Linked DNA regions of Macaca mulatta. The protein of the gene in region 1 interacts with the protein of each later gene in a pairwise test. Links are inferred from orthologs where the notes say so. Each region holds a gene or a part of one and is shown on either strand. Other genes may lie near its edges. The genes, in order: MX1 and PIAS1.

Region 1 (9,110 bases):
GTGTGTAGCATATTCACAGCTGGCTCTTCCAGTGCCTTGATTTGCTGTTTTACGATTGTCTCAAATGTCCTGTAATTCACAAAGCCTGGCAGCTCTCTACCACGATACTGATTTTCAAATTTCTGCATTTTTCTACTCGTAATTTTATGGCCTATAGCAGGAAAAAAATAACACCAAATTATCTCACAAAAATAATCTTGCACATTTTTCTAAACACAATACCATTCTAGATTTTCTGAAAATATAAATGGCAAGAAAAAGTGATATCAAATCAAATCTAACTGGTAAACTAAAAATATTCAGAGATTGCACACACACACAGAAAAGCCAGATCTCAAGATAATTTTCCTTAGTCACCTCAGGAAGGGGAGTGCAGAGTCAGGTACGATGCCAGGAACCTGCACATGCAGAAACTTTGAGTAAGACCCCCTCTTTTTTTTTTTTTTTTTGAGACGGAGTCTTGCTCTGTCACCCAGGCTGGAGTGCAGTGGCGCAAACTCGGCTCACTGCAAGCTCCACCTCCTGGGTTCACGTCATTCTCCTGCCTTAGCCTCCCAAGTAGCTGGGACTACAGGTGCCCGCCACCACGCCCGGCTAATTTTTTTGTATTTTTAGTAGAGACAGGGTTTCACTATGTTAGCCAGGATGGTCTGGATCTCCTAACCTCGTGATCCACCCGTGTCAGCCTCCCAAAGTGTTGGGATTACAGGCGTGAGCCACTGTGCCTGGCCAAGACCCCTTCTTAAAAACTTACTCGAGTATGAACTGTTGTGAACCTAATTTTAGTTTTACCAAAGAAATTGTACCATAACACATTCCTTGCCCTCAACTGTATGCCCATTAGAAATGAGCATGAACACTTTCTGGAATTAACAACATGTCATATATTCGTGTGTAGAAAGTGTTTACAAGTCAAATGGGATAACAGAGTAAACCAGGTATATCAACTTGTGTGAATGTGATACAGTAGCACTGTTCACTGTGTAAGATGCTGCATTTTTCTTTAAACTTTTGGAATTGTTTGTACTCCCAACAGTCCACATAGAGAGAGTTAGCCCCATCAGAAGTTCAGAGGGTGTGAGTTCCTTTTTGAATGGTAATCTAGTACCCTTTTTCAGTCAGGAAATACTTTCCCATAAGGATTTTTCTTACTGAGATATCATTTACATAGTATAAAATTCACTCGATTGAAAGTATATGGTTCAGGCCAGGTGCGGTGGCTCACGCCCATAATCCCGGCACTTTGGGAGGCTGAGGCTGGTGGATCACTTGTGGTCAGGAGGTCAAGACCAGCCTGGCCAACATGGTGAAACCCCATCTCTACTAAAAATACAAAAATTAGCCAGGTGTGGTGGCAGGTGCCTGTAATCCCAGCTACTAGGGAGGCGGAGGCTGAAGCAGGAGAATCACTTGAACCCGGGAGGCAGAGGGTGCAGTGAGCCGAGACTGAGCCACTGCACCCCAGCCTGGGTGACACAGCAAGACCCTGTCTCCAAAGAAAAAGAAAAAGAAAAAGAAAGTGTATGTGTGAGTGAATTTTAGTATATTCACAAAGTTGTGCAACCATCCCCAGACATAACTCCCAAACCCCACACCCATCACCCATCAATGACCACTTCCCACTTTTCCCTCCCCAGCCCCTGGCAGCCACTATTCTGCTTTATGCCTGTCTGGGTTTGCCCACTCTAGCCATTTTCTATCAATGGAATCATAGAATATGATATGTGGCCTTTGTGGCTGGCTTCTTTCACTCAGCATGATGTTTTCAAGGTTCATCCATGGGGTGCTGTGGACCAGCGCTCTGTGCCTGTCTGTGGCTGGAAATATTCCAGGGCTTGGTGTTATGGGCTGAGTTTGAGTTGTGACCTCTTCAAATTCCTATGCTGAAGTCCTAACCCTCAGGAACTCAGAATCTTACTGTGTTTGGAGACAGGCAAAGAGGTAATTAAATTGAAATCAGGTCACTAGGGTAGGCCCTCATCCCATGTGCCTAGTGTCCTTGTAGGAGAAGATGAGGACACAGACACACACAGAGGGAAAACCACATGAGGACCTAGCGAGAAGACGCCATGTGCAAGGCAAGGAGAGAGGCCTTAGAAGGGACCAACTCCACCAGCAATTTGATCTTGGACTTCCAGCCTTCAGAATTGTAAGAAAATAAATTTCTACTGTTTAAGCCCCCACTAAGTCTGTGGGACTGTGTTATGGCAGCCAGAGCCAACTGCTACACACAGACACATGCCAGTTAGTTTATCGATTCATCAGCGGATGGTCATTTGGGTTCAGTGATATAGAAGAGAGCAAATGTGGCTTTAGCTGTCATCAGCTCCTTATCCTGACCATCCTCCCCAACTGCCCCACTCTCCTGTCTTAAGCCAACATACCAGGCTCACCACGCTATTGACTCATGGCTATGGTCTACATGTTAGTGTCCCCTAAAAATTCCTATGTTGAAACTCAATCCTCAGTGTAATGGTATCAACAGAGGAGATCTTTAGGAAGGATTGGGTTATGAGCACTCTGCCCTCATGAATGGGATTCCAGGCACTTCAGATACTGTAATTTTTGCAATTGAAGGTTGGTGGCAACCCCATGTCAAGCAAATCAGCACCATTTTTTCCGGTAGCACATGCTACTTTTTGTTTCTGTATCAGCAATTTTTTAGCAATAAGGTGTTTTAAACTAAGGTCCGTACATACTTTTTAGGCCTAATGTTATTACACACTTAGTAGACTACAGTATGGCATAAACGAACTGTTTATGCACCAGAAACCAAGAAGTTTATGTGACTTGCATTATTGCAATATTTGTTTTGTCTGGAACTGAACCCACAATCTCTCTGAGGTATGCCTCTGGTATCTCTGTAAAAAAGAGGTCTGAGGAAGCTTGTTCGTCCCTTATCCCATGAGAGGACACAGCTAGAAGGTGCCATCTTTGAAGCAGGGAATAAGCTCTCACCAGACACCAAATTTCCTGATTCCTTAAGAATGGATTTCTTGCCTCCAGAACAATGAGCAATAAGTTTCTACTGTTTATAAATGACCCAGTCTCAGGTATTTGGTTGTAGCAGCTCAAAGAAGGGACTAAGACACTCACCTTCTTGCAAATTGTTTTCAATTATTATACCCCATTTGTGGAACTCACGTCGGAGTCTGGTAAACAGTCGGCTGTCATCTTCCCCTACAGTTTCCTCCCCTTGTATGAGAGCAGTGATGTCCTGATTAAAGGCATTAATTTTCTGTCAAGAAGAAAAACATCAGTATAAGCGGATAGACTTCAAATCCAAGGTCAAGGTCGTTTGGAGGCCGTGCCTATGTGGAGGGTAGGGAGTCATTCTTTGCTTCCTTATGGGACACTGTGGATCAGAGGAAAGCAGAGGTTTTGGCACCAGAAAATCCTATCCCACCCCTTACTGCCTTAAGGATCTGGGCAATGATCATGACAGAGCGGTCACAATGCAGCCTGAGCATCCCTCACTGCTGACTCCCCCCGCACACCCGCACTCCCTGCCCTGCCTCCCTCAGCCCTGTCCACTCTTTGAGTGCGACGGGCCAGATGTCTTTGGATCAGCCTCGGGGGAGTGAAGAAGGAAGTGCGTGAGGCCCAGGGCCCCTTTTCTGACCATGACATGTGCTTCTCCAGCTCCATGTAGCTGGCAACACTCACGTCTATCAGAAAGAACATTTTTTCATTTTCATCTTCCGGTATGTCGACACCATACTTTTGTAGCTCCTCTGTTATTCCCTGGTGACTCTCCTTGATTTGATTTTCTAACAGCGGCAGAGATTTCTGAGGAAAACGGAGAGAAAATAATGGGAATTGATAAAGATGAACAGGGAATGAAAAGGAGGTCCCGGGCCTCCCTCTACATAGGAGCTGTGTGGGCCATTTGACTTCCTGGCTTCCTCTAAAAGGAAGCTTTTCCAGACCTGGGGGGCAGGGGGACACACGCTAGGGGCACTGTTTCCTGCCCAGGTCTTCCCCCTTCCCGACTCCTGCGGCAGCAGCCTCATGAGCAGCACTGAGGCACCCACTGTGCATGGGTGCCGGGCCCTGGTAGAGCGACCCAGGGGCAGTTCCTCCTGTCGTCGAATTAGGTAAACTCTCTGGAGGGAGACTGGGGAGATCCACTTGTTTAGTAGGTTCTGAAGAAGTGGCATTTGGAGCAATTGGAGATTCAACAACTTTTATGTTGTTTGCAATCAATAAAAAGTGATCAGAGACTTATGTTTTTAACAATACGGTTGGCACCATGTGCTGGCTCACACTTCCATAGCAAACATCTAACAATGCCGGCTGACATGTGAAAGCCGTACCTTTAAAATGTATCGGTGGGCTGACAAGCTAGTGAGGGGTACTCAGATGCCAGCCCCAGTAACAGTGGCCAAGGAGGGGCTCAAGAAGGAGGCAGCAATGGAGCCTATCTCAGCCGCAAGGGCATCTGTCTAGGTAAGAAAACTCAAACGTAAACCTACGAGCCTGACTTGGTACAATGGCAAAAAAAAAAAAACCCATGGGCTTGCTTGAGGTGGGGAATCTAATAAGGAACCATCCCTTTTCTGCATACAATGGGACCCCAAAGAGCTCTGCACTCATCACAGTCAGCTGGAAAACAAACCCATTCTGCACCCACATTCCTGGGGACCACGGGGAAGACCTTGCACTCTGGTGCTGAGTTGAAAATTTGAAAAAGGCCAGCCTGGCCAACATGGCGAAACCCTGACTCTACTAAAAATACAAAAATTAGCTGGGCATGGTGGTGTGCACCTGTAATCCCAGCTACTCAGAAGGCCGAGGTATGAGAATGGCTTGAACCCAGGAGGCAGAGGTTGCAGTGAGCCAAGATCACGCCACCGCACTCCAGCCTGGGCAATAGAGAGAGAGACTCTGTCTCAAAAAAAAAAAAAAAAAGAAAAAGAAAATTTGAAAAAGGAAGAGACTACATTCAGGCAGATTTTTAAAAAGAACCACAGAGCTTTTACAAAGCTTTTAGAAGTTAAAAAATACGTTCGTTAGAATGACTAAGACATTATAATAGTGGTTGTCAATGGGAAAGGAAGAGTTAGTAGCTTGTGCATAAGATTTTAATTTTTATTTTGGCCCAGTTGAGATAGTCTGTCAGCATCCCCCCAGACTGTGGTCCCCTGAAAAGCAGTATCCGCATCGTCTGGGAGCTTGCTGGAAATGCAGAATCCTAGCCCGCACTCCAGACCCACAGAATCTGAATCTGCATCTTAACAAGATCCTCAGAAGATCTGTGTGTACAGCGATGTTTAAGCAGCCAGCAAGGTTCAGCTGTGTTTGTAGTATTCTTTTCAGAGAACCCACAGCTCTGCCCGTGCTTACACAGATGTGTGTGATGAGCTCGCTGGTAAGTTTCTCTGCCAGGCAGGGAATCGTGGCCTTGCCTTCCTCCAGCAGATCCCTAGAAGAGAACACAAGAATGTTTTCCACCTTGATGTAGCCAGAACACGCATGTCTGCCTTCTGCTGTTGGGAAAAGTCAAGGTGAATTTCAGTTGTTTACAACTGGATGGAATGTCTTGCAATTGGTACCCAACAAATACTCAGAATTGGATTGAATAGGATTATGACTGAATTTTAGCAATCTAGGATATTTCAACAATGATATGGAATAAGCCCTTCCAGCTGATATAATAAATGTGTATCATGGTATTTGACTCTAGACTTGGTCATCACAAAAATACACAGGCATGTATAGACACGTTTATATAACACATACCCCCTTCTATGTGTAATATGTGTAGGTAATCATAATGGATAGAGACATATCTTCATACGAATACATTGAAGCATCCTGAGATAAATGGGTAGCAGAACACTGAGGAGAAGAGACACAAGATATCTTGTCCAAGATAAAAACTTAAACCATGGGCTGCCTGGAGGAAGGAAGTCAAGCATCTTCTCACCCGATCCAAAACTTGTGCTCCCAGGGTATTATTACAGGGTTTCCCACATTTTATAGGACATTTTAGGATAAAGGAAGCAGCGAAGCATGAGTTTCTGTGCCTTTTTGTGAGAGTATAGTCATACCTAAGCTTCAGTTTCTCTGTCAATTTTTCTAGATTGTAGTAAAACACATACAACATAAAATTGACCATTTAACCATCTTTAAGAGTACACTTGAGTGGCATTAAATACGTTCACACTATTATGCAACCATCACCACTGTCTTCAGAACTTTTCATATTCCCAAACTGAAACAATGGCCCCATTAAACACTACCTCCCCATTCTCTCTCTCCCAGCCCCTGGCACCCACCATTCTTTCTGTCTCTATGAATCTTACTACTCCAGGGACCTCAGCTAAGTGGAATCAGACAGTATCCATCCTCTTATGACTGGGTTCTTTAACTTAGTAGAATGTTCCCAAGCTTCATCCATGTTGTAGCATGTGTCGGAATGCCCTTGCCTTTCTAAGGCTGAAAGTATTCCACGTTTTTGTACAGACCACATTGCTTTCTGCATCCGTCCGTCAATGACACTGAGTCATCTCATCTTTTGGCTATTGTGAATGTGCAGAACAGCATGTAAGTTTCTGTTTGATATTTCTGGAATTCTGAGTAATGGTTCTCTGTAGGCTTCTGGGAGAACTGAATGCAAGAATGTTTACAACTCTACATAGTCTCATCATTTTAAATCTTACCAATTTATCAGTCTTTTCCTTTCAAAAAATGTCACTTTTGGCAGGAGGGATAGAAAGGCCTTATGAACTATTCACCTACCTTTTCTTCTGGGATGCTTATTGCTTCCTTTTAATGTTTGACTTTAAACTTTAACTATTTTGGTATAATGAGGTAAGAGCAGTATTTTAATTTTTTTCCCAAATATTAATTAGCCCAACACCATTAATAGATAATCAAGCTGATATAGTCCACTATTTGATTTGAAATGCTGCGTTTATCATGTATCAAATATATATATCCAGGTCTATTTCTGGACTTTCTACTTTTCTGTTCATGTTTTTATAAAATATGGTTCTAGCACCATACTATTTAAATTATTGTACATTGTTCTCTCCCTATTTTGATTTTGATTGGTTTTTAGTTTTTTTTTTTTTTTGGGGGGGGGCAGTATTTTGTAATCCCCTTTCTATTCTTCTAGCTGAATTCCATAGTCCTTGTTGGGGAACAGGCATAGTCACACACACACTCCACACATCTGTGGGACGGCTGCCACTTTCCCCAGGAAGGCCTGACATCCTGGGCTTGGACTGATCTGTGATGAAACCCAGGCGAGCGCACCTGAAATGTGGGTGGTCCTCAAAGAAGATCTTCTCTCTCTGCAGGGCTTCGGACAGGCTCAGCTGGTCCTGGATCTCCTGCTGGCCGCGGCACTTGACGATCATGTAGCCCTTCTTCAGGTGGAACACGAGGTTCCGCACCACATCCACAACCTTGTCTTCAGTTCCTTTGTCCACCAGATCAGGCTTCGTCAAGATTCCTGCGAGCCAGATGTATTTGGGGAGAGAACGTGCCCAGTCACGAGGCAGAGGTGAATGAACAACCGCTCATACCCCCAGTCTCCCAGGGTTTCCTCCCATCCTTGCTTGAGGGCAGGCCATGGGCCCTGCAGAACCATGGGGCCAGTGGAGCCCCGCTCCAGAAAAGAACTCCGTGGCAAGCCACGTGAAGGCAGGAATGCCTCCCGGAACAGTGTGTGGCTCTCCCCAAGCTCCTTCACCCGGGTCCACTGTAGAACACGCCACATTTTGTTTGTCCCTTGAGTTATGGACATCCCATCTCAAACACATTCTTAATGAATACCATGTGCTTCCTGAGTTGCCCTGCTTCCGAACCCACTGTGCCTTTCTGAGCAAGTAGATAAGGGTTACAAGGTAACCTAGCCAGTGAAAGTCAACAGCAGCTCATTTCGCTTGGCCTTGGTGGGCACCAAACCTGCCCCCTTAGCAGGTCTTAGTGGAGGCAGGTCCCCACTGAGCAAAGCCCATGGAGACTGGAGGGACACTTGCCCACTGGCAGACCACTGAGCACAGGCGGGCTCCCCCATTCTCACCGAGCACGGATGGGCTTCCCCATTCTCACCGATGGTCCTGTCTCCCTCGGGGTCCACCTCCTGGGCCATGCTCAGCGCCTCTGTGGTGGCGATGTCCACGTTACTGGGGACCACCACCAGGTTGATCGTCTCCTGCCTCTGGATGTACTTCCTGATGAGTGTCTTGATCTGTAAGGAAATGAGAGGAGGTGACTCCTGAGTATGGCAAAGGCAAGTGAAAGGTGAGACAGGTCCTGACCTTGTACTTGCTTCAGTCCCTGAGAGTCCCAGGGGTATTTCCCCCAAAAGAAGTAACTTTGGAGAAATGAACCCACAAACGCAACCCTGGAGGTACCTACCAAGCTGGAATTATGAGAAAATAAATTATCTGCGGCAGAAACAGAGCTGTAGGCTCAGGGAAAACCACGAGGTTTCAGGTAATTAACCCCCAAGACCTTAGATCTGATGGTCACAATGAAAAATGGTGGCCAAAAAACCCCACTTCACCCCTAAATCTTTAATCTGTAAAGGAAGATTCACCAATACTAAAATATCATTATACCTGTTTCTTTCTTGCTTGTTTTGTTTTTGTTTTGAGACAAGTTCTTGCTCTGTTGCCCAGGCTGGAGTGCAGTGGCACAATCATGGCTCATTGCAGCCTCCCTGATTCCAGCAATCCTCCCAGTAGTTGACAGGTGCACGCCACTATACCTGGCTAATTCTTTCTTTTATAGAGAAGGGGGTCTTCACTATGTTGTTCGGGTTTCTGTCAAACTCTTGGGCTCAAGGAATCCTCCTGCCTCAGCCTCCCAAAGTGCTGGGATTATAGGAGTGAGCCACTGTGTGTGGCCCATTATACTTCTTTTTAATGCTCTCTTCCCACATAAGACCCCTTCCTAATACACAGCACTTTAGATATGGCATTGCATAAAACATAAAACAAATACATAGATGTTTCCAACTGGGCCCATTGGCCTCACTTTCTCCAAAGAAGCTTCCATTCAACTTGACAGAAGAGACTGACCAATGGGCTCTCTAAATTCCCCACTCACACCTCCAAATACTAACTCAGCTCTGGACTCATGGTTACTCTAAT
Region 2 (9,891 bases), on another chromosome or scaffold:
TTTAAAATTTGAGGTCAGGTATGGTGGCTCACACCTGTAATCCCTGCACTTTGGGAGGCCAAGGTGGGTGGATCGCTTGAGTTCAGGAATTCAAGACCAGCCTGGGCAACATGAAGAAACCCTGTCTCTACAAAACATACAAAAATTAGCCAGGCATGGTGCTGGGCACCTGTAATCCCAGCTACTCAGGAGGCTGAGGCAAGAGAATCACTTGAATCCTGGAGGCGGAGGTTGCAGTCAGCCAATATTGTGCCACTGTACTCCAGCCTGGGTAAAAGAGCAAGACTCTGTCTCAAAAAAAAAAAAAAAAAAAAAAAAAAAAGAAAGAAAGAAAAATAAATAAAATTTGAAACCTTGCTGGCTCTCTTTTAATAGGTTTTCTTTTTCAATATTTAAGAAAACCTTTTTTCTTTTAAGCTACTGATAGCTTATAGCAATTTGGTAAGGCATACTTTCGCAAACAAAAATTCAAACATTTGCTTTTCCTTCCTACTTAATTCCTCCAACATTTGTAAACTAATCATGAAGATTCTTATTTTTATGACAATATAGTTATTTGCATAAGTTCAATAAGAAGCTCTTCTCTTTAACAAAATACAACTGGAAATATTGGTTACATTACCAAAGCTTTGATTGCAGTGTCATATTGTATTAGTCTGTTCTCACGCTGCTACGAAGACATACCTGGGACTGGGTAATTTATAAAGAAAAGAGGTTTAATTGACTCAGTTCTGCATGGCTGGGAATGCCTCAGGAAACTTACAATCCTGGTAGAAGGTACCTCTTCACAGGGTGGCAGGAGAGAGAATGGTTGCCGAGCAAAGGGGGAAGCCCCTTATAAAACCATAAGATCTCCTGAGAACTCACTATCACAAGCACAGCATGGAGGGATTCCCGCCCCCCCACCCCGCCACCAGTGCTGTTCATTCATTCATTATCAATTGAATTGATAATGATTCAATTATATCCACCTAGTCCTGCCCTTGACACCTGGGAATTATTACAATTCAAGGTGACATTTGGTTGGTGACACAGGGCCAAACCATATCATTCATATATATATATTCATATATATATAGCAACATCATATTTTAAAATCTGCATAGAATCATAGAATGCCAATTTTCAAGGGTTCTCAGCCTTATAGTGAACAACAGTTGTCACTTTCAGGCAGGCCCAGAAACCTCAAGATATTAGATATTGCAGGCAAAGTCTGATGTCTGCCTTGGTTTGACTTCCTAACATCAAGAGGTTTTTAAAAGTCCAATCTGAGACTCGTCGTCACCATTTCCAGCAAAATAAATTTAAAACAAGCTTATGTGGTTATTCTTGCTGCACTTATGTAAATAATCAGGTCAAGTTTGAAACTAAAATCATTTAAAAAAACAAATTGGTCTTACTATGATTATCTTTGGTGGAAACGGGAATGACTGTAGAGAGAAAAATTATGTTTCTGATGAAAACTATAATACACCTGTTATTAGATTGCAGCTTTGTTCATTGTTTTTGAGTTTTTATCATATATCTATAGACTAGACTGGATCCTGATTTCTCATTGCCTTCAATATCTGACTACAATTCTCCAACCATGAACAAAAACTGCTAAGCTGAACAACTCGATATAAATTTCAAGGGATAAGTCCCATGCTTGATGAGGGAACCACACAGAGGGTTCGGCAGAACACCTGATGCCACAGCCAGAGACATTTAAACTGCAAACCAGGACGAGAAATTGCTGACATCATGTTGTGGACAGTGTTTTCCAAGACTGTCAGAAGAAGACTCGCTACCATAATAAGACTCTTTCCCTTCTTAATTTTTTCTTGCTTTTGCCCACCTGTTCCACTTGGCAGGATAATGCTGTAGTTAAAATTTCACAATCAGTTGTTTTTGTGGGCAAGTTGATAAAGTGTAACATGTCAAACCCAAACCTTTACAGGACCCAAGAGAGCTTTTATTCCACCTAGTGGGTAACTTTAGCAACATCCCTAATGCAACTGTTTGTTCAAATTTTACTAGTGGCCTCTTTTGTAGAGTTAGCACTCTTTGCTTCAATTTAACCAATTCCTGAGATGCTAGATGACAGAATGGCTACCTACTAACCAAACAGGGGGAAATCTGTGCTGTTGCTGACACTTGTTGTTGTACATAATCTGGTATTATAGAGACTCAGTTTCAAAAAGTTAGCAGGCTACTTGGTTAAAACAGGTAGATTTCTCATCTGGCTCATTCTTTGATCTATATGATTTTAGTTGGTTTGGTTTATGGCAACCCTAGCTAAGAAGCATACTCTGAACTCTTGGCATTGTCCACCTGATAGTCATAATTCTCAACTATGTTCTCTCAAAAAGTTTTAAATGTTTGTATACAGCCAACTGTTGAATGTCAAGTGGTCTCTCTTCACCTGCAATGACAGAAATGCATAATCGTGAGGACACTGTAATCTATAAATGATGTGTGGAGACTAGAAAACCAGAATGATGTTAAGTGAGGGTAGTGCTAACGCCCTCCGTCTTAGTGTCACAATTTCACCTAGGTTAATTGTTAAATAAAAATCACAGGATGCCATTGTTTTGAACCAAATTCCTGCATCAGGCCTCCAGACCAGACTAAAAATCAAAATGGTGTCACCCATGTTCACTAAAACAAAACTGAGTTATCTGGTTTTACAAAAAATCATGAGAGAGAGACCAATTTTCTTTTTTTTTTTTGAGACTGAGTCTGGCTCTGTCGCCCAGGCTGGAGTGCAGTGGCCGGATCTCAGCTCACTGCAAGCTCCGCCTCCCGGGTTCAGGCCATTCTCCTGCCTCAGCCTCCCGAGTAGCTGGGACCACAGGCGCCCGCCACCTCGCCCGGCTAGTTTTTTGTATTTTTTAGTAGAGACGGGGTTTCACCGTGTTAGCCAGGATAGTCTCGATCTCCTGACCTCGTGATCCGCCCGTCTCGGCCTCCCAAAGTGCTGGGATTACAGGCTTGAGCCACCGCGCCCGGCCCAGAAGGCTTTTAGTAGAGACAAAAAAGAATGAAATAATCCTTCCATCAAGTCTACTTAAATGTCAATTTAGTGGATAAAACTCTCCCAGAATTAAGTACATCTCCCAAACCCTTCTTCTTTCTCAATGGACCGTTTGCTCCCTTCTGGTACTCAAAAAATAACATTTGAAATTGTATCTTTGTTCGTTCACTTGTCTGATTCCCCATTAGAGAACTACAGAAGGGCAGGGACTTTGATTCCCCAATGTATATTTAGCCGTTAGCACAAAGCCAACAGATAGTCACTAAATACATTTTTTTAAAACAAAAATGTTAATGAACACCTTCAAAATTTTGTCTTACGCCACCTCGCAAAAATTCTTGTTTGTGCAAGTCACTTTTCCTTTCTGAGCTTTCATTTCTGAATCTATACCCTGGGAATTATCTCTTCCTTGCCTACCTCACCGCGTTATCAAGAGGAGGATCTGAGCCAATAATGCTAGAAATGCTTCATTAAGGGCCCCTTAAATGTAACGGATTTCTATTTTTAGCCCACTGGTAGCCTCGCAAGTAGCAGGTGCTGAAAAAGCCTTGCTTATTAGGGGTTGGAGGACAGCATTGTTTCTGTGACCGTAGGCGTCGAAGCTATGCAGAAGCGTTCCACGGACCGCGGAGAGATGGGGCTCAGGCCAGCATCCCTCTCGCCCCTGCCCTTCCCGGGAGGCGCTGGCCGAGAGAGGATGGGGGGGCTGGGAAGCCGAGGGGGTAGTAACTGTCAAACCTCGCCGCTTGGCGCCATTATTTAAATAGAACGTGCCTGTCTCGCAGTTGTACGTGTCCGGGGCGGGGCTTCCAGCGCCCTAAGCGGGGCGGAGGCCAGAGGCGGGCTGGGAAGGTGGAGGGGCGGGCCGGGGCGGGGCCAGGCCGGCTAGAGGGGCGGGTCTAGCGGCGGCCCCCGGCGAGGTTCACTGCGCTTGCGCTGACAGACGCAAGATGGCGGACAGTGCGGAACTAAAGGTAAAGCGCAGCTCGAATTCACTTCTAATATTCGGCCGCGGAGACGGCGCCTCTGGTGCCTGGGGGGATGGGTCCGACCCTGGGGGGCCGCTCGGGCCTGACTCCACCCGGGCCTGGAGTTGTAGGGAGAGAGGCGCGCCCGGTCTCAGCAGAGGGGGCCCGCCTGCGGCGGGCCGCGGGCCCCGGGTGCCTCGGGGGCGCTGACGGGTCGTCCCCGGCGTGTTATTGTTGTGGGCGCCTCTGGCGGGGGTGGCGGGGGAAGAGATAGGGAGTCGGGAGGTAGGGGCTGCAGCTGTCTCCTGGGCTCGGCTTTTTCACCTTCTAGTTAGCCTCCCCGCCCCCCATGGGGAGCTGGGGCTGGGGGCAGGGTGCTCTTGTAGGGGGGATTGGGAAAGCTCCCCGTGGCCGCTTCCTCTTCCTCCTTTGCAGTCCCGGGCTCCTGTCAGGCGCTCTTCTCAGACCCCCGGGAACTTGGCTCCGGCCGCCCCGCCCCTCCGTGGATCCCTGTCGCCCCCGCCCCGGACTCGGCTCTCCCCGGCTGCTCGCTTTCAGGAAGCGCCTGGGGTGCCCCGCTTGAGGGAAGCGCGATCCCGGGGCGATAGGGTGGGGATCTGGGGGGAGAAGCTCTGGTAAAGTTTAGCGAGCCCCGGGCCGGCATTGGGGTTCGGCTGAGAGGTAGCGGGGGAGAGTCAGCCTGGGCGGGACGTTACTCTCTCTCTGATTCCGGGCAGCCGAGGGGAGAAACCCCCTCGAAGAGTGTGTCTTTGGAAGCAGTGTTGGGAGAGGGGGATGTAGCTACCTCTCTCCCTTCTCTTGCCTTGGCTGGTGTGGAGGGTGAGAGGAGCCTTTGGGGGTCTCTGCACACACCATGATGGCGATGCTGTAGCTGATGGAGGTGAATGGTTCGTGTTTATATCCCCCCATTGCCTTTTGTTTGTAGGGACATCTTGCTGGCCATGTTGATTTGAACGAAATTCTCCCCTCATGCTACTCTAACCCCCGATAAATAGAACGTTCCTCTTAACTGTACCAATTACTCACGCCTCACGAAATTAGATGAAAGGGTGCCCCCTTTTCCCCGCTTTTCTCCCACCCCAATCTTTACCTGATGATGGCTTCTTTACCGAAGCAGATATACCACTACACAAGCAGTTGGGGGAGGGGGGGTGGAACCCTTATGATTGGATTGTGACAAATGGGGCTCCGCTTGAATAATTTTGGTTTAGTAGCAGGCAGTTCTTAACTAACGCGTATTATTTCGAGGCTCTGAACGCGATCTTCTCTGTGGCTTCCTGTGTGTGTGAACCCAGCAGCTGGTTATGTCTCGACCCAGAGAACTGACATCTCTGTCAGAGTGGAGATTGGGATATACAATTGTAAATCTTTGGAGAGAGTCTTCTTTTTATAATTAATACAAATTATTTAATTTTTTTCTCCGTTATAATGAAACGACAACTTCTAGAACAACCAAATGCCAGATTTGATTCTGTAGAGTTTTTCCTGTGGAATATCCTCACCGAAAGATCTTTTCTCCTAATAACTTCACAATGTTTACACTCCAAGATTTATGTATTAAAGTATTGGCTTTGAGTGTCATTCATTTAAAATGTACTTATAATTACAACTTTATTTAAGGGAGAGCAGATTTAGAATGGATGGTTTTGGGTTTTCTCCAGTTTCAAACTATTGACTGAAATGAGAAAGCCTTAGGAATTTGAATATTTGGAGATAGTTAACCCTTGAAATAAAAAAAAAAGCACACAACTTTAAGACATGTTTTCTATGATTTTTCTCTTATGATAGAGTCATCATGTTGCTGTGATCTTTGCCTTCTAATATTTATTTTGTTAGGAGTTCTTTTGAATGATAGCTAATCAGTTGTTATACATGGACCATAGAATAAAGCCGAAAAGCTTGTGCAGACTATATTGTCACTCTTGATGCTGTCCAAAGAAACTAGTATGGAAAGCACATGCTGAGAGATTTCCTTCTTTGTTCTTTCTCATTTTAAGAAAGTGCCTTTGGGGATGGATTAGAACCCTGGTGTGAGTCTTGTTAGGTAAAGTTTCTCTTTACGAAAGTGAACCAGTATCAGATAAACACCAAACACTTGAAGAAATGTTATTTTTCTAAAATTAGTCTCGTTTTTTGCTCTCTCCCAAATCTACTTGAGTTTTTCCAGAGGAAGTTTTTTTTTTCTACTTTTATGTTCCTGTTGTATAATTTTTCAAATTATAATAACTGTTTTGACATGTTGGTATGTCATTGTGTGTGTCTGAGACTTTGAGGAGCTGTGTGATAAATTGCTTAGCTGGTGATAACTGCATTAAAAAAATTTGGTTAATACTTTATTGTGGTTAGATTTGCTGTTCTTTTTTTGGGGGGTGGAGGAGGTGATCTCAGGAACGCCTACCATAGTTATTTGAGAATGTGTTAAAAAAGAATGTGTATATATAATTTTCTGTGCAGTAAGGTTTGGCAGATACTCCTTTTGGAAATGATATTTTCGGAAGGCTTTTTGTTTGTGATTTTTTGGAGGTAAATATGCATTCCTAATATACGAAAAATCAGTAAGAAGAAAATCTAGTTTTTTTGAAATTTTAAATGGGAATAGAGTACTTCAACTGTGAAGCTTTGCATAACATTCAGTGACTTTTCATTATCTTAGGTTTCAGCCCCATACTTCATTTTGCTGTGTATTCATAATTATTTTCCTCATGGCTTTTTTAGTGAGTCCTTTTAAATCTATAAGAAATCTGCAAAGATCAGATGGGAAAACGGATAGATCTTTATCCCCTGTAGGAATTGCGCAAGCTGCAACACTTCAAGATATTGCCAATAAAAATTAGATTGTGAATCATACATATCAAAAGGAATTCTCTATGCACATTTGTTTATGAAAGGCTTAATTTTTCATTAGGGGAATACCCATAAATGACATTTTAAGAATGTGGAGGGTATTTTGTCATCTTTAGGAACTTAGAAGCAGGAGGGTGTGATGGCCAGATGATCTTGGTGGTTAATAAGCTGACAGCTTCATGCAGCTCCTCTTAAAGTACTTTTAAAAAAAATATGGTTTTTTTTTGGAGTAAAACTCAAACCAAATTATATTGCCATTTTAATTTACAGGAAGAAGAGTGGGAGAGAAGAAGCTCATCGTCATTTTAGTGGAGTAAATAATTAAATTAAATGGAAAGAGAAACCATAATTATAAAAGTTCCTATAAGTGTGTTAGTGAATTCTATTGTTCTTTTCTGCCTCTTTATTTTCAAGAAATAGCCACTTAATTTTGATCCTTACGCTGTAATTTGTCTGCTTTTATTTCAGATAGAGGCAAGTACGTCTGACAGTTTATTCATGGATTTGATTTGAATCTCTGTAACTTGCCTTTGTCAAGTGCCACATTTAGATGGCTTTTGTTTTATGTCATTATTTTTATGAACAGTATTTAAAAAACACTACAGTATAGTTTATAAAATACTACAGTATAGTTTCTAAGTATTTCATATGATTGTTTTGAAATACTGCCTTCTTTTTATCCACCGTTTTCTCCTGGGCGATTGCATTGTCTTTCTCTTCAAAGAGTCTCTTGTAATCCCTGTTGATTGCAGTAGTGCTTGAGTCCATAGCTGATTAACCTTGGGTTTCTCCTGGTGAACTCCATCAGCATGCTGCTCCAGGGTTCTTGCTGAGGCTTTTGAGTTTAGTATAATTTGTACCCTTTCTTGCTGGTAACCAGGGATAAGAAAATAAAGTGGCCAATGGTTGTAGTGGGAACTGGGAAAAAGTATCCAAGTCCCAGAAAAACTGGGTGTTTATGATGAGATGTAGCCTTTAAAAAACAATGACCAAAAACGGATTCATTACTTCATAGAGTTGGCTGTGGTGTTTTCTGAAGTATTTGACCCTGGCATGAAGCATCTTGCTTTTTTAATGTTTGAATAATAATATCTTATTTATATAGTACTTTGCAGTTCATAATATATTGCATTATCTCTTTTGATCTTTCCAGCAGTTCTTTGAGGTAGGAAAGGCGAGTGATAACTAAATCCTTTTTATAGATAGAGAAAGTGAGCCCAGAAAGGGTAAGTGACTATTGCAAGGTCATACAAATAAAAGTGGCAGGGACTTGAGCCTACGTCTTGTGTAGGCCTCCTTAAAGGTACTACAGCAGACCTGGAGTCCTCTAGGGTGCCCAGTTCACAAAAATTTCTACTTATGTTGTTGCTGATACTTTCCCTTTTGGGAAAGCTCTATGCTAGGGTATTTTTGGATATTCCTAGGGCATTTTGCAAGCTTCCTTTCAAAAAGTTTGGAGTTTGTTAGTTGGAATCATACACATTAATTTTTGTAAGTGTCATTTTGCTTGGGAAAATTTCAGAGAATCTGAAAAGTAAGCAGAAAAATAAACAGTACCTGTAACCCCAACACTCAGAAATATCATGGTTAACATCTGGGTATTTATGCATTTAGATTTTCTCTCTGTGAGCATATGTATATGTATATTCATCACAAAAAGATACAACACTATTTTTTATTTATAATCTGCTATTTTCATGTCTATCCAGATTAGTAAATACAGGGCTGTACGATCATTTGAAAGCTTACATTGTATTTTGTTCAAATAGTCCCTATCAGATTAGTCTACTTTTTTTTTTTGGTTTGTTATTTTGAGACGGAGTCTTGCTCTGTTGCCCAGGCTGGGGTGCAGTGGCATGATCTTGACTCACTGCAAGCTCCACCTGCCGGGTTCACACCATTCTCCTGCCTAAACCTCTGGAGTAGCTGGGACTATAGGCACCCGCCACTACACCCTGCTAATTTTTTTGTATTTTTTTAGTAGAGATGGGGTTTCACCGTGTTAGTCAGGATGGTCTCGATCTCCTGACCTTGTGATTCGTCCATCTCGGCCTCCCAAAGTGCTGGGATTACAGGCGTGAACCACCGTGCCAGGCTTAGATTATTCTACTTTTTTTGCAGTGTCTTTGCAGCCTTGTGCCAAAGTTTGCAGATGTTTTATTTTAACTAAATATATTGATATGACAGATCTTTTTTGTGCTTTAGAAAGCAGTGCAGGCTGGACACCGTGACTCACAGCTCATGCCTGTAATCCCAACACCTTGGGAGGCCAAGGCGGGTGGATCACGAGGTCAGGAGTTCAAGACCAGCCTGACCAACATAGTGAAACCCCATCTCTACTAAAAATACAAACAATTAACTGGGCATGGTGGCAGGCGCCTGTAATCTCAGCTACTCAGGAGGCTGAGGCAGGAGAATTGCTTGAACCTGGGAGACAGAGGTGGCAGCGAGATTGTGCCACTGGACTCCAGCCTGGGCGACAGTGTGAGATTCTGTCTCAAAAAAAAAAGAAAGCAATACAAATGTTTCTTTTATTTTTCTAGAGACAGGGGTCTCGCTGTGTTGCCCAGGCTGGTCTCAAACTACTGGCCTCAAGCAATGCTGCCTCGGCCTCCCAAAGTGTTGGGATTACAGGTGTGAGGCACTCTGCCACTGTGCTCAGCCTGCAAATGGTTTTTACAGGTGTGAGGCACTGTGCCACTGCGCCCACTCTGCAAGTTAGATAAAATGTTTTCAGAGAAATAAATTAGTCATTCTTGGTTTGTTCATTGTCATAGCTTTATTGTTTATGTTTCTGTAATGTGTGAGATAAGATTATTAAATGATGGCAGATACAGGTTTTACAAAATGTAAGCAAACATTACTTCGGCATCAGAATGTTTGATAAAGTATGAAACTGCTTGTGAAATAGTATTTTATAATCTATTCATACTATTCTATGAATAGTAGAATTTCAAGTATGCAAGTATGTTTGATTTTGGAAATTATATCACAGTGATCAAATATTGCAAGTTTTTGTACCTTATTTAGATGCTTATCAGT

The links.
Region 2: the proteins of MX1 (region 1) and PIAS1 interact in a two-hybrid assay, tested with the Homo sapiens proteins (2 studies listed by BioGRID). The link is inferred for Macaca mulatta from reciprocal best matches to the Homo sapiens genes MX1 and PIAS1.

The regions. Positions count from the first base shown.
Region 1 is NC_133408.1:6,019,008-6,028,117, forward strand, and holds part of MX1 (interferon-induced GTP-binding protein Mx1), read right to left. Parts: intron 8,204-9,110; coding exon 8,065-8,203; intron 7,463-8,064; coding exon 7,264-7,462; intron 5,426-7,263; coding exon 5,347-5,425; intron 3,790-5,346; coding exon 3,667-3,789; intron 3,239-3,666; coding exon 3,097-3,238; intron 152-3,096; coding exon 1-151.
Region 2 is NC_133412.1:45,604,650-45,614,540, forward strand, and holds the start of PIAS1 (E3 SUMO-protein ligase PIAS1), read left to right. Parts: upstream 1-3,956; 5' UTR 3,957-3,966; coding exon 3,967-3,990; intron 3,991-9,891. UniProt on the Homo sapiens protein: Functions as an E3-type small ubiquitin-like modifier (SUMO) ligase, stabilizing the interaction between UBE2I and the substrate, and as a SUMO-tethering factor. Catalyzes sumoylation of various proteins, such as CEBPB, MRE11, MTA1, PTK2 and PML.